Cricetulus griseus: one gene and its partners. The protein of the gene in region 3 purifies or fractionates together with the protein of the main gene of each other region. This does not show direct contact. Links are inferred from orthologs where the notes say so. Each region holds a gene or a part of one and is shown on either strand. Other genes may lie near its edges.

What was found. Proteins that work in one complex are often made in the same cells at the same time.
Region 1: the proteins of Chuk (region 3) and Pias1 purify together in Homo sapiens (affinity purification with western blotting; 3 studies listed by BioGRID). This does not show direct contact. The link is inferred for Cricetulus griseus from reciprocal best matches to the Homo sapiens genes CHUK and PIAS1.
Region 2: the proteins of Chuk (region 3) and Akt1 purify together in Homo sapiens (affinity purification with western blotting; 5 studies listed by BioGRID). This does not show direct contact. The link is inferred for Cricetulus griseus from reciprocal best matches to the Homo sapiens genes CHUK and AKT1.
Region 4: the proteins of Chuk (region 3) and Ripk1 purify together in Homo sapiens (affinity purification with western blotting; 3 studies listed by BioGRID, with this or other methods). This does not show direct contact. The link is inferred for Cricetulus griseus from reciprocal best matches to the Homo sapiens genes CHUK and RIPK1.

Annotation. Positions count from the first base shown.
Region 1 is NC_048597.1:174,449,065-174,452,779, forward strand, and holds part of Pias1 (E3 SUMO-protein ligase PIAS1), read right to left. Parts: intron 874-3,715; coding exon 429-873; intron 1-428. UniProt on the Homo sapiens protein: Functions as an E3-type small ubiquitin-like modifier (SUMO) ligase, stabilizing the interaction between UBE2I and the substrate, and as a SUMO-tethering factor. Catalyzes sumoylation of various proteins, such as CEBPB, MRE11, MTA1, PTK2 and PML.
Region 2 is NC_048598.1:181,392,254-181,395,968, reverse strand, and holds part of Akt1 (RAC-alpha serine/threonine-protein kinase), read right to left. Parts: intron 799-3,715; coding exon 670-798; intron 1-669. UniProt on the Homo sapiens protein: AKT1 is one of 3 closely related serine/threonine-protein kinases (AKT1, AKT2 and AKT3) called the AKT kinase, and which regulate many processes including metabolism, proliferation, cell survival, growth and angiogenesis.
Region 3 is NC_048596.1:17,462,118-17,465,832, reverse strand, and holds part of Chuk (inhibitor of nuclear factor kappa-B kinase subunit alpha), read right to left. Parts: intron 2,742-3,715; coding exon 2,639-2,741; intron 1,987-2,638; coding exon 1,863-1,986; intron 1,190-1,862; coding exon 1,038-1,189; intron 1-1,037.
Region 4 is NC_048596.1:253,857,570-253,861,284, forward strand, and holds part of Ripk1 (receptor-interacting serine/threonine-protein kinase 1), read left to right. Parts: intron 1-887; coding exon 888-1,113; intron 1,114-3,368; coding exon 3,369-3,518; intron 3,519-3,715. UniProt on the Homo sapiens protein: Serine-threonine kinase which is a key regulator of TNF-mediated apoptosis, necroptosis and inflammatory pathways.

The DNA.
Region 1 (3,715 bases), on a different chromosome or scaffold from region 3:
CATCAACCATTGAAAATTAAGAACAGAATTTACAGACTGGTGGTAATTTGTTTTCCATTTTGATTTTTAAGGGTTACTGTACATTAATTAGAAGCCAGGCACAGTGGAATATAGCTTTAATCCAATGGCTCTGGAGGCAGAGGCAGGAGGATCTCTGAGTTCAAGGCCAGCCTGGTCTACATAGCAAGATACAGGACAGCCAGGGTTTATATGGTGAAACCTGGTTTCAAACTTAGTATTTATTGTATCTGAAACTGCTGGCCACTTTTGCCTAAAGGACAACATTTATATATTTGATTTAGTCTAAACTCAGCACATCCTGATGATACTACCAAACACGAACTTCATTAAGAATAAGACTGGGTCAGACTGAACGTCTAAAAAAGGAATGATAACCGAAGTAGTAACCAAATTGCCTCCTATCTTACCTAGACTGGTGGGTTTGATCAGCTCATCCAACAGGTCATAGAATGGTAGCTTTTGTAGCTTTATATCCGGATGGACTGGGTGCAGCGCTGATGTGAGATGTGGGAGTTCCAGTTCATGTTTAGGTCCCAGAAGAGAAACAGGGAGTAGAGGGGATGATGCAGGGTGACCATCATAGGTGAGCTGTGGAATGGTAGATGGAGACAGAGTCGCTGGCATAGGACTTGAATGTACGTTGGGGATAGACAAGTCCGCAGGTGTCATAATTTTCTGAGGGAACCGCCGCCTGTAGAGTTCTTTAATTTTCATTTGTACTGCAGGACTACAGCCAGCCTTTAACAAATGAAGGGCTTTTGTAAGAAGTTCGTGTTTGCGTCCGTGCTTGTTCCTCCCAGCGTAGCCCAACAGAACTTGGAGTTCAGAAACTCTAAGGCTCATAACCATTTGCTTAGAGAAAAAAGTAAAATGTAAAATATTAGTGTCTGAAACCATAATTTACAATTCTAATTTTTATTTAGCCTTTTCATATGATTTGCTTAAATGCCAGCTTATTTAACTCATTACTATCCCAAGTCAAGATTAACCAATTAATAAAGAAACTTTAAAAGTAATATGCATATTATAAAAGACACAGGATCAAGTTTACACTATGCAGGACCACATCTCACTTTATCCTACCATTTAGTGACATTAGCAAGCACTTACAAATTCTCCAGAAGCACAGACTTGGGATGGAAGAGTAGTAATGTGCCCTCAAGAGCATTCCTATCTTCTTAGGGAAAAAACTTTAAGTACACTGAAACCAAACATCCCACCTCAAACCCTAGACACATTATCAAGTACTAGTCTTATACTAACTCTGGAATTCAAGGAACAATCACTATTTTCCTGAGGACTATCTCTTATGTCTTTGCTGTTATATAGCTAGCTAGCAGTTCTATCAGATGCTAAAGCTCTTGATTCCCACTTAGACATCAAGAATTCCACCTTTACACTGCAATACATGAAGCTAAAAGACAGAAATCTACTTACCTTCATTAATCCTGGGTTCACAATTTATTTCATCACTGTTTCTACCCCTCCACCCTGCCCCTTCTAAGAACAACAGGAAATGGAAATCTAATCAGAACCTTCCATTTTAAAGCAACAGAAAGGGAACCAAAGAGGAAGGACTGACTCTGACCACACTACTACTTATGGAAGAAGCCCTGTCTCTGACAGGAATGTCAGAATGAACACACACCTGCAAGCTTCCCATTCATTAAATCCTCCATTTCCTAAACTTCTGGATTCTCTGGCCTCATACCAAATACACACAGTAGCTGCACTGCCTCTCTACCTTCCTGTAGGGCTATAAATACCCTTTCTCAACAAACCCATTAGAACAGTGGTTCTCAACCCTTTAGTACAGTTCCTCATGTTGTGGTAACCACAATCATAAATTTTCTTTGCTACTTCATAACTGTAATTTTGCTAATGTCATGAAACATGATGTAAATATCTGTGTTTTCTGACGGTCTTAGGTGACCCCTGTGAAAAGTTCATTGGACCACCCAGTGGACTGCTGCACTAGAGAGTCCTTTCAGGTAGCAGAACAACCCCCCAAAATGACCAATGAATGAAGCACTCTGATGCAATATAGCTGGCTAGTCAAAGCTGTCAGTTGCTCTACTGTTTCCTACCTTCAGGTCCAGCTTCACCAGTCTGTTCCAGAAGATTGGAACTGTTTTACTATCTATCTCTATCAGCCTTTTCTTGGCTATTTATTTTTCACACTTATCCTGCTGCATTGTCATTTCTATCCATACAGTGATTCCTTGCCTAGACTGAGGTGCTCCAGGGCTGATGACCACTCTAGACAGAGGTTTTCTGGAGCACATGACCATTTTATCTTCAGCATCTAGAACCAGAGTTTGTTATCAACTATGTGGACAGTGAAGGAATGAACAAGAAAAGTATGCCAGAAGGACTGGAGGTGGAGTACGAAGAGATAAATCATTCAAATCAATGCCCAAATTATTGTCCTGTACAGAGGCATACAAAGGTGTAACACAGATCATATTATTTCATAATAATCTTCTGTTTTTAATGAAATAAGACCAAACATAAAGGATTAGTAATTAAAAACAAATTGGAATTGGCTGGTCTTTTCTACTGCTGTGATAAAACACCATGACCAAGACAACTTACAGAAGGAAGGGTTTATTTAGGCTTATAGTTCAGAGGGATAAGATTCCATCCATCATGGCAGGGAATTCTGACTGCAGACAGCAGGAACATATGAGAGCTCACATCTCAAAATGTAAGCAGGAAGCAGAGAGAGAAAAACCAAAATGGAATGGGGCTTTAAACTCTCAAAACCCACTTCCGGTGACATGCTTCCTCTAGCAAGCACACTTCCTAAACCTAGCCAAGCAATGCAGCCAACTGGGAACCAAGTATTCAAACATCTCAGCCTATGGGGAACAGTCTCATTCAATCATCACACTGTCTTAGTTTCTTTTCCTGTTCTTGTTTTAAAAATGCTCTGACAAAAGCAACTTAAGGGAAAGGGTCTATACTGGCTCAGAATTCAAGGGTAAAATCCATTATGGTGGGGAAGATGTCAGGAGCTTAAAGAAGCTGGCCACATCACATTCATAATTGAAAAAAGAGAGTAATGAATGCATCAGTTCCCTTTCTCCATTTATAAAATCCAGGACCCACAACTGGCATTAACAGCCAGGAAATGTTGTTGCCCACAGAGGGCAGGTCTTCCCACATCAATTTAAAAAAAAAAAATCAAGATGCTCTCCACAGGCATGTCCAGAGGCCCATCTCCCAGGTGATTCTAGACTCTTGTCAATTAACACTAGCAGTCACATAGGCAAATGTGTTTGTTCTAAAGGCGGGGAGGGGCAGCATTAAATTTTAAAGATAAATATCTTTCCTTTTAATTCAACTCCATTCTCTAAGATGCAAACAAAAACAGCAATTCAGTAATTACGACAAATTTCAGTGATGGTAACCTTTGTCATCAGTTGTGAGAACAAGATTAAATGTAGCACAGATGTATTATTGTTGCATTTCTATGAAACACACACTGACAATTTATATAAAATAAAGTCCCTTGTGTGAAGGATCAAAGAAAAGGTTAAATGACAAAATAAACTTGACAGCTGTCAATTACATTTTGACTGCCTCAAAAAAGACAAAGCAAACAATAGCAACCGTTAAAAAGAATACTTAAATAGAATGCACTCAAAAGACAGCTGTTATTAATGAGTCAAGGTTTCTAGTTTGAGAGGGG
Region 2 (3,715 bases), on a different chromosome or scaffold from region 3:
GTAGAAGGCAGACTAAACTATGGTGTGCACACCACACTCCAGACTGCAGTCCGAGGACAGCCCCACAGTCTGTTATTGGTAACCCTCATGGCTAGGCATGCTGCTACTTATCACTGTCAAACTCAACCACACCTACAAAACCAGCTGAGCCTTTGACCAGTCCCAGGCAGAACTGGGCTGTCACAATGTGACACAGAGAACAAGGACATAGATTCTCAAGCTCCACGCTCTCAAAGATAGTTTCACAATATCCTCAACTTTATAACCCTCACCAATCCTGGCACTCCAGCTAAGGCGATCACAAGACCCAGGGCAAAGGACTACCAATGGTCTTCCCAGGAAACAATACAGAAATGGTTCCCAGGATGTCTTAGGCTCCTAGAACTGGGAACCTTCTTCTCAGTCTACCCAAGAGTTCCCAGTGAATGTCCTTGAGTGCCTGTTTAGTCCCCATTAAAGGGACCCTGGTCAACCCACCCTCTAAACCAGGTCCAGTCACCACATGCTGGAACCTTCAGCCTTACAGCAAGGGCTCCCTGGCCCAGCCAGAGCTGGCCACTGGCCAGCTCTAGAGGAGGTGACTCAAAGCTAGCACTGCCCAGCACCCCAGGACAAAACCTGCTGGCCTGCCTAGCCATCTCACTCAACCCAAATGGCCGAGACACTTACGTGCCACTGAGAAGTTGTTGAGGGGGGACTCTCGATGCTCCACGTCCTGAGGCCGTTCCTTGTAGCCAATAAAGGTGCCGTCATTCTTGAGGAGGAAGTAGCGTGGCCGCCAGGTTTTAATGTATTCCCCTGCGGGGGGGGGGGGGCATAAGGAGCTGCATGTGAACAACACTGCAGTGGCCCTGACACCTGAGAGGACCTAGGCACATAGAGGTAGGGAAGGGATCTGGGCCACTTCCTTCCCAGAAGGCACTGGCACTGGGGCAGAGCTCCAGTGCATGTTGCTGGGAGCATCTTCCAGGGCTCTGCCTGTGCAGCAGAGTCAAGAGGTGCCATGGCTGGAACGAGTGTGCGCGTGTGTGTGTGTGCGCGCGTGCGCACGTGTGTGTCCTAGCTGAGACCTGTGCTGTGTCCAGCTGAGTCCTGCCCTGGTCACCCAGGTACACAGGAACATTGTTCCCTCCTCCAGTTTTGCAGCATCAGCCAGAAGCAGGCACCACACTCAGACATCAGAGCAGATGTCCTCTGTGATCTCCCAGCGACTGTCATTTTTCATACTGACACCCGGAAAAAATGTTTCATTTACATTTTGCCGAGCAAGGAGTCTGAACAACAGGGAGCTAACTAATTAGGCAACTTCTTCATCTGAGGGGACACTAGACTGAGGACAGGAGGGGCAGCCCACAGGGCTGGGGTCCCTGAGCTCTATCTGAGATGAACTTTGCTTGTCCCACTGAGTCCTGAGCAAGAGCACCTAGAGGGGTATGCAGGGAGCAACTGTTTGGACCAGGCCACCTGCCACCAGGTGCTCCAGGATGCAGACCAAGTCACAAGGACAAACACCCTGGTCTCAGGCACCAGGCAGTGCACCTAACGCATTTTCCACAGCCCCAGGGAGGCTAGCTAGCTTTCCTTCTCTACCCTCTCATGGTATGTACTAAATCCAGGTGTTCTCTGAGAACACGTGCAGGTGAGATACAGTCTACCCAGTATAGTTCACCAGCTCAGACTCTCAGGGCCTTCCAGGGTACACGAAGTAGGGGCTCTGGGCAGTATATTGCCAGACTCCTCACATGACCTACCTCCCCCGACTCCACCGTCTAGTCCCTTTCAATTGACACCCTGGAGGCATTTCCGACACCAGCCTTGCTCTGCATGACCCTACACAGCCCTGCATGAATCAGGATAAGAGAAAGCCTAAGTGACGGACAAAGGCTCTTGGTGAGAGAAGAAGTGATAGAGCCACTACCAGGCCAACACCCCACACACACTCCAGGGAGCTGGTAGCTATTAGAGCTAGGGATCCTGTCCCCTCGTCACTGCAGATCTCCTAAGCCTGCCATCAGCACTGACAAAGACCCCAGCCTCACAATGGAGAGGGGCAGCAAAGAGAGCAAGCTCGAGCTCCTCCCGACTCCATTGCATGTGCCCAAATGTGCCTGGTGGTCCTCCAGGGCCTAGGCTAGATTATTCTGCTTCTCTCCAAAGGCCTACAGTCCGTAAGTAGCTGGAACTAGGACACCTGGAAACCCATTCCTGCCTCCCATCTTTAGTTCCCAGAAGCTCAGCTCCCCAGCCGGCCACTTCCCACAGCCACTGGGGGCTTCAAAGCAATGACCAATGCCAACCCTCCCTCACTCAGGAGGGCCTAAGGCTCAGCAACCTGCCTACACAACAAAAACACAGAACAGGGTTCCCATCCAGGTTTTCGAAGACCCCTGAACCCCTGCAGGCACCAGCCTGGCTTCTGACCAGGTGGCACACACCTGCAGTATTCACATGGCCAGTGGCCCCATGACAGCCCCTCCCCTGGCATAGGGCCTCGAAGGCTCAGTGGGCAGGCAGGGGCCCTGGGTAATATAGCAGAGCCAATGGGGGGTGAGCAGCCCCCCCACCCCGTTCCTCCCTAGGCCCCCGCTGTGCACGCCCACCCGCCAGCACCAGTCTGGAGCTGTCGGCCCCTGATGGAGTGCCTCCATCTCACCAGCTGCTGCTCCCCGGGACACTAACTGAGTACGGAGGCTGATGAGCAACACACTCGCACCCCAGAAATCCATCTTGATTTACCAACTGCTGCCCACCCCACTGTGCCCAGTGCAGGCCCCCAGACAAGACCACCACCCTATCTACAACTGGCTCTTAGCCTGCATGACCAGCCCCTAGGCCAGGCAGATTCCAGAATGTGGACCTGGAGGTACAGGCAGGGACACTCACCAGGCAGAGAAAGCCAAGTACCCAGAAGGGCCTAGGTGCCCTTCCCCTCCCTGGCCTCACAGAGGCCTCCTGGCCAAGGAGAAATGTAAAGTGAAGTGACCTCATCAGGTCTTTCCCGGTGGCGGCCTCTTCCAGAGGAAAGGGAGCCACAGTTCTGACACACAGATCTCTTTCTTCATCTCCGGCCTCAAGGTCTAGCCAAATGGTCACTGGGGGTACCAGCTAAGCCAGCTGCAGCCTAGGATGTGGCCTGCATGTTAATGAGTTCAGTCCAGACAGACCCCAAGCCCCACCCCTCCAAAAGAACTGTGCCAACACATGACAGACAAATACAAGAGGTGGCTACACTGGTCCTTCATGGCCACGTGGTATCTAGGAATACCCCTGCCCCCTTCTGGGGCCTCCCTCCAGCTTTTCACACTCCAACAAGGAGGGACTGATACTGAGCCCCTGCAGAAGTGCTAGGCTCTGGCCCATCCAGGCTCTTCTCTACTCCCTCACCCCATCTGGATGCCTGGTACCCTGAAAACAGGTAAGGCGGAGTCCAGCTGGTGAAGCGCAGCAGCAGCTGGGGCCTTCCACCTGTCCACACAGCCTCTGGGAACACAAGTACTCACGGCCCACTAGAGGTGCTGTGCTCCACCTGGAGTTTCCTCACCAGGCCCGTGTTCACACAGACATGAACAGATGACAAATAACCAGGTGCCACCTCCACAGTGTGGTCCCCATGGTTCTTGAGGCCAGATGCCTGACAACAGCTTCTCGTTGAACAACAAAACCAGCCAACAGCAGACACCCAGGGCTAAGCCCTGCATTACAGTAGGCCTAGCTC
Region 3 (3,715 bases):
AATATCAGCACATCTAGATCTCTTCCGTCAAGTTAATGGCTGTACAGTATGCCTCTGACAAGTCAAAGATGCTCTAATGAAATAATTATGCCTATAATATGTAAACACAGAAATAACACTAGAGAATAAATATATTCACTAACTGGACACTTCTGGTCACTTATTCTGAGATATCCAAACTTTTGTCAAGTACATAATAAACAGTATCTACTTCTTCTAAAAGATATGTGTCATGAAGTAAACAATTCCGTTTATTTGGATTTTAACTCTTTACAAATCCTTAACACATCCAAAAGGGGATAAGGTTGGAGTCAGGACACTGTGTATAATAAGAAAACAGTAGGTAGAACTCCACAGCAGATGGATTAAGGGAAAACAAAAAAACAAACAAAACAAATAATTTAAGACTCCCCTGGCTGTGTTATTCCACTTGAGCTGCTACACTACAAGAACAAAATCAGAAAACAAAGCAAAACAAAACAAAACAAAACAAAAATACCCTAGGTGGCAAATTTTGAAATCTGAGAAAGCCAAGATCAAGTTCTGGTTCATAGGCAGTGGTTCACACTGCCTTCTGTGTCCCCTTATGACAGAAAGGGTGAGGGAATGTGACTCAGGCCTCTAGTAAGGTCCCATCATGACTTAATCCTTTCCCAAGGGTCTTACCATTATCAAAAGGATCAGGATTTCAGCATACCAACTAGGGGAAGCACACATTTCAGTACACAGTATTGGCTAGGAAGTCACCTCAATATAGACTCTATACATTTTAAAATAAGACTTGAAATTCAGTCTTAAGGTCACTTCTGTATTATTTAGCTTTTCTAGAGTTACATACTTTTACAATAATTATGAAATAAGTTGCTTAACTAAGGGATTAAAAGAGCTAACCCTCAAAACAAAAACATTTGACAAGTTTTTCTGTATGTTGGTCTGCTGTGAATTTAAATTACTGGCTATGTGTCAACAAGATAAGAGAGCAGATGGTTTCAAAAGACTAGACATTCCTTACAAATACATTATAGCCAGACACTTACATATCCCGTAAGTCATCTGCTCACTATATCTCTCCAAGTCAAGCTGAATGCTTTTGTGAAAAAACTCCAATTTAGCTTTGAGTTGCTGTGATGCTGAGATCAAAGTATTCTTCATTTTTGTCAAGTTAGCATTATATCTAAGAAGACTTAACCTAAGCCATAGCAAAACAAAACAAAATTATCAACATTCAGAAACATTGAATAACAATTTGCAAACATACAGTATCCAAACTCCAAAACCTAAGTTTCTATTATCAAATCCTGAGAAACAGCTGACCTATTTCCAGACTGTGAGGTCTGTGATAAACAACCTTCTTCAGCTAAGGCCACTCAGGAACTAGAATTTTCAAGACATTACAGCTGAATGATTTCAGACCATTAATAAGAAATCTTAAGTCTGGTCAGAACACTGCATCTCAATGGAGTCAGAGTGATGGCCCAGTGGGCAAAGTGCTTGCTTTGCATGCACGAGGACCTCAGCTTAGTGCATGGCAAGTGAGTGCTTGGAGGCATGGGGAAACAGGCAAACAGAGGAGCCCATGGGCCATTCAGTCTAGCTGAAACAGTAAGCTCCAGGGTTAGTAAGAGATCTTGCCTCCAAACTTAGGTGAGAAAACAATAAGGGAAATATAGCCAACATCAACCCTGGCTTCCACGTGTGCATCCATTCACATGCTCATAAACACATTATTAAAAACAGTACACTTCAAAATATGTTCAATATTTTAGCCTTCTACACAATTCTCAGGGAAAACTGGCAAGAATAATTCTTGAGTACATGATACAAGTGGTGTTATGCTAAAAAAACAACCAGAACCCACTTACATTGCCGCTCTTTGTCCCTGAAAGAGCCTGCTGTAATCTTCTTTTAGTCCAGATACATAGTGCACTGCTTCAGCCCATACTTTACGCAGCTGTACAATTGGAAGCTGTATCTTGCTGTCTTGAACTATAAGTAAAATGGTAATAAGGGAGGTAAGCCACTTTCAGACACTATAGTTCATTCTTTGTGACGTCTTTTCCAAAAACTATTCCCATAGATGTTAAAAAGAATCTACTGCCTGGCTCTAGATATGAGAGTTGTGTGTCTGAATAACATAACTACTTCATTATTTCTGTATGTTTTTCTTTTAAATTTGCTTCTCTCCAGTCAAGAAGTCAAGAATATTCATTTTCTTTCTGCTAATCCAAATTCTTTACTTCTAAAAGCTTTGGTTCAAGTTCCTTCTCCTCCACAGTCCACCAGTCTTTTCTGTTTCTAAACACCAGCTCAGATTTATGAAATTTACAGGCAAAGCTGTGTGTAAATATCTGAACACACCTAACGAAGGAACAATTAAAAAAAGCAGGCACAGTGCACAGTGGGCTTTCATTCTTCTATCTATGGAGCCCTATCCTCAGGAAGGGAAATCTCCTCCCAAGAGAAGAGTCTAGTGGTAATTTAAAATCTACCTTTACACCTTCCAAACTACATTAAATCCATTTTCGCCACATATAGAAATCTCAAATAGGAGATACTGAACAAAACCACTAAAAAGATCATATTTACTAATCATGTAATTTCAAGATTAAAGTTCAGCCACTAACTGGACTCTACTTACCAATATAATTTACACAATCAGACAAACTTCTGGATGCAAATGGTCCTTCATACACAGTCTTACTTTTATCAAACAAATAAACCATGTAGCTATCACAGCCTCTCTGAAAAAAAGAAACAATTAAAATGCAAAGATTCTTGAAAACTCTAGATTTTACAAATACTTAAGTGCCAGATTTCCTTCTTTGAAATGTACTGAACAAAGTCACTGTGCATTCACATCTAATTTATAGATGTGGGGCAAAGGGTTAGTAAAAAGATATATGGAGTCAAAGTAAAAAGTGATCAGCAGACCCAAAGGAACAAACAGAGCAGGTGTGGGAAGAGGGTAATGGGGTTGGTTAGCAAGGAAGCAAAAGGGAAGACTGTTTGGGGAGAGAAAGACCAACAAAGAAGGGCAAAATGGAAGAGGTAGAAATAAGAAAAACTATGGTGAATATACATGCATAAAAATGCCATAACAAAACCCACCATTTTGTCTGCTAACTTAAAAAACTAGGAAAAACAAAGTAAGTTTCTAATCTCAGTACTTAAAAGCCAAAAGAACAAATACAAAAGGTCATACTGGTGAATGAAACACTCAGTAGTAAACAAAAGAAAAAGACTAGGTACTAGAGTAATTCCAAAACAGGGTAGGGTGAGAGTCAGCTTGGGCTACACAGCAAGACTCTTTCTCAAAAGGTCCAACAGGAATGAAACACCCTATAACACTGATAACATTCAAAAACGTAATGCTAGTGTTGGGGAAATATTTCATCAGTAAAACACCTGTTATACAAGCATGGAGACCCGAGTATAAGCACCATAACCCACATTTAATAAGAGTTGGGTTTTGTGATTCCAGCAGCTTAGCCTAATCAATAAGTTTCAGGCCAATGAGAGAGCCTTTCTCAAAACAAAGGAGATGACTGTCATTGAGGAATGGCGACTGAGGTTGACCTTTGGCTTCCATGGGCACATATGTACATGTACACCCTCATAAACATCTGCACTCATACAAACACATAGCCATACATAGACATGCATGCAAATCTACAGAGACCGAAAGCACATAAATAGGATGGGTGGAATGGAAATG
Region 4 (3,715 bases), about 240 Mb from region 3:
CCTGCTCTGCCATTTCTCCCTGCCGCTCTCTTCTCTGTGTCTGACTTTGTTATCTTTCTCTGCCTTTATATGTTTTTCGATTTCTTTCTCTCCATCCTGTTTTCTCTTAGGTTCAGGCTGCCAACTCAAAACAAGTAGCAGCAACGGTCTCACCCTCAGGGTGGCTTTGGGATGCTTGGAAGCACAGCCATGATCCTCTGGATGCTATTGGGCAAATAGAAGGTGCTAACACAGCCATGATCCTCTGGATGCTATTAGGCAAATAGAAGGTGTTAACAGCTGTGGTCCTCTGGATGCTACTGAGCACATAGAAGGTGTTAACACAGCCATGGTCCTCTGGATGCTACTTGGCATATAGAAGGTGTGGTAACCAGTCTCCATCTTCCCCAGAAAAAAAACAAAAAAAAAATGCAAAATAAATGAGAAGTTAGCACAAACATGGTTTCATTGTCTTGTCCCCAGTCTTCTTATTAATTAAGAATTAGATGTGAAGGGCCCAGCAAGGTGGATCAGCTAATAAAGGTACTTTCTGCCAGCCAAGCCTGAAAACCTGAGTTTAAAGCCTAGTAAATAAAGAGAAAGGACTTCTGCAAAATTGTCCTCTGACTTTTATACATACATCTTGGCTTGTGTGCCCCCCATAAATAAATAAATAAATGTTTAAAAATAAACTTTGGGAATTGAGATGCCAGAACTTTACATGAACATTCTGAGTCTTTATGAGTCTATTGAGAAGTAACTATTCTAGATAGCTCAGTGTAACCATTAGAAAATTGACTGTTCCATACATGTACTGGATAGTCCCCAGATTTTATTTCATAAAGATCAAGCTTAATTTACTTGTAACCTTCATGCAGTAAATTCTGTTGGCCCCACCTCTTTTGCAGATAGCTGATCTTGGTGTGGCTTCCTTTAAGACATGGAGTATACTGACTAAAGAGAAACACAACAAGCAGAAGGAAGTGAACAGCATCTCTAAGAATGGAGGCACCCTCTACTACATGGCGCCTGAACACCTGAGTGACATCAATGCAAAGCCCACAGAGAAGTCAGATGTGTACAGTTTTGGCATTGTACTTTGGGCAATATTTGCAAATAAGGAGCCCTACGAGAGTAAGACAATTTTAGATGTGGGATTTTGATAGAAATCAAAATGTTACATGAGGGTTGGTGAGATGGCTCAGCATGTAAAAGCATTTACCACCAACCCTGACAACCTGAATTCAATCCAAACTCCAGGACTTACATGGAGAAGGAGAGAAGTGACTTCCAAAAATTTGTCTTCTGTCTTCCATATATGCACTGTGGCACCCAGATATATCTCCTCTCTCTTTCTTCCCCTCTCTCCTCCTCTCCCTGACTTCCTGCCTCGCCCCCCCCACACACACACACTAATTTTTTAAATGTAATAATTTTTTAAAACTTTTACATAAAATAGTGGCCTTCAGTGAATTCTGTTAAAAATCCATGATTATTTCTTAAAGGCTGGCTCTGCATCTGATTTATTCACTGCTAGTATCTTTAGCACGCACGCGCGCACACACACACACACACACACACACACACTCACACACACACACACGCACGCACGCACGCACGCGCACACACACACACACACACACACACACACACACACACACACACACACACACACACACACAATGCCTGGATGTAATCAGGAGACTCTTGTTTAATTAGTCATCCCAGTTTAGGATAAACTCATCAGGTGGATTGACCCTTTTATCTTTACAGCTTGGGAGTTGCTGTAAAACTCCAGGATTGCTCCTGGAGTAGGGATGGCCTTTCATACTACTAGGCATGTATCCCGTACTTGATTCTATTTGTGAATGAACCTTTTTCGTTACCTACTGTGAACACTCCAGTCAGTTGAGAATATAAAGGTGAATAAGTCTTTGTGAAGAGGCACAGTCATCCTTGGGTTTGGTTAAGCATGGAAAGGAGTGGCTCCTTTCTATAAACAAAGATTATCAACACCAGTAGATTAGGGATCATCAGCTCTGCTGATGCCTCTTAAATCTTAGTCTCTGACCATGACCAAGACATCCACTAGCCTATTAGACCCAACACATATACCTCAGGAACCTCCAAAGCGGCACCCCAACAAGCTCCCAAGTTTACCACCACTCTTCCATAGCTCCCTGTGCTCACCACCCGTACTGAGTTGCACAATAAGCAGCTTCACCTGAGACTCAACATTGTCTCCCTCTCCCACATCCAATAAAACCTCAAAACCTGAATTCAGCAACTAGGGATAGAACTCGGTGTTACAGCACTTGTCTAGCATCTTGTAGAGGCCTGGTTCAAGCCCTAGCACTGCCTGAAAAACAAACAAACATGAATTCTGTGAACATCTCTCCACTAGCTTCCTTATTTCTGCTGCAGGATCCTTGAGCCTTCCACAATCAGAAAGCAGCCAAGATAGTCATCTTAAAAGGCAGACGGGACAGGGTGAAGAGCTGGTTCTATGGTTAAGAGGCTGTTCACAGCTGTCTGTAATTCCAGTCCCAGGGTATCTGACATCCTTTTCTGGCTCTATGGGCATTGGATACATGTGATGCACAGACATAGTGCAGGCAAAACACCCATACACATAAAATAAAAATCAAGGAAATAAAAAGTTTTTAAGGCAGAGAGGATCATCTTGGCTATTTAAAATCCTTGAAAGACTCCCATAGCCTTCAAGTTTCCCAGTGTAAAGTATGAGGCCATTTCTGGTTCCACCCTGGCTTCTCTCCACCCTCCTCTCTGTCTTTGCCTCACGTCAGTGTGCCCACTTACACTGGGCACAGGTCACTGGTGCATATGATTTCTGTCATTCCCACCCTATCAGTTTCCTGCTGCCCTAGCTTGGAGTCTCCCTCAGGAGTCCTCCTTCCTGGTCCTTTACCTTGATAACACCTCCTTTTCTGACTCAGGAAAATCTTCTCAGACATTCTGTTCTCCACCATATTTGCTACTTGAGTGTCAGTTGTCAGTGTGTATTTTAAGTCACTCTCATTAAATTGAGCTTCTTAAAGCCCAGACCATCCTGGTTTTGCCTCTGTATTGAACTCTGGGGAATGCCCTGACTTTACCCATGGATTTTGTTTGTTGTGAAAAAGTAGCTTGGTTTTGAATTTTGTCTCTCATCTGCAAAAGTCAAAACCTCATTCTGTCATCTCTACAATAGACTCTGATAACTCCTTGTCACAGGCTATTGCTCTATGGAGTGAGATGAGACAGCCATGGGAAAAGCATATACTAGGTAGAGACAAAATAGCGGTAGGTATTGTTCATGTCCTGTCATCTTCCTTCCTGAGAGTAGAGTAGGACCGAGAACCCCAACTGAAGCTTATCCCTCTTTGCAGACGCCATCTGTGCTGAGCAGCTCTTGATTTGCATAAACTCTGGGAACAGGCCAAATGTGGAGGACATCATTGAGCACTGCCCAAGAGAGATCATCAGCCTCATGGAGCGGTGTTGGCAAGCAGCCCCAGAGGACCGGCCAACATTCCCTGGTAAGAGCAGGTTGTGTGCCTTTCAGGATGCATCCCATATGGTGACACTTCAGTAAAGTGAGACTGGTAGTTTAGTTACTTTTCCTATAGCTGTGACAAAATACAGGACAAAAGCAGCTTGAGGGATGGGCTCCACCCATTGGTCCAGATCTCGTCAGTGGCTTGGCTTTTCCAGTGGCTTTTCCCCTGTTCTGAGG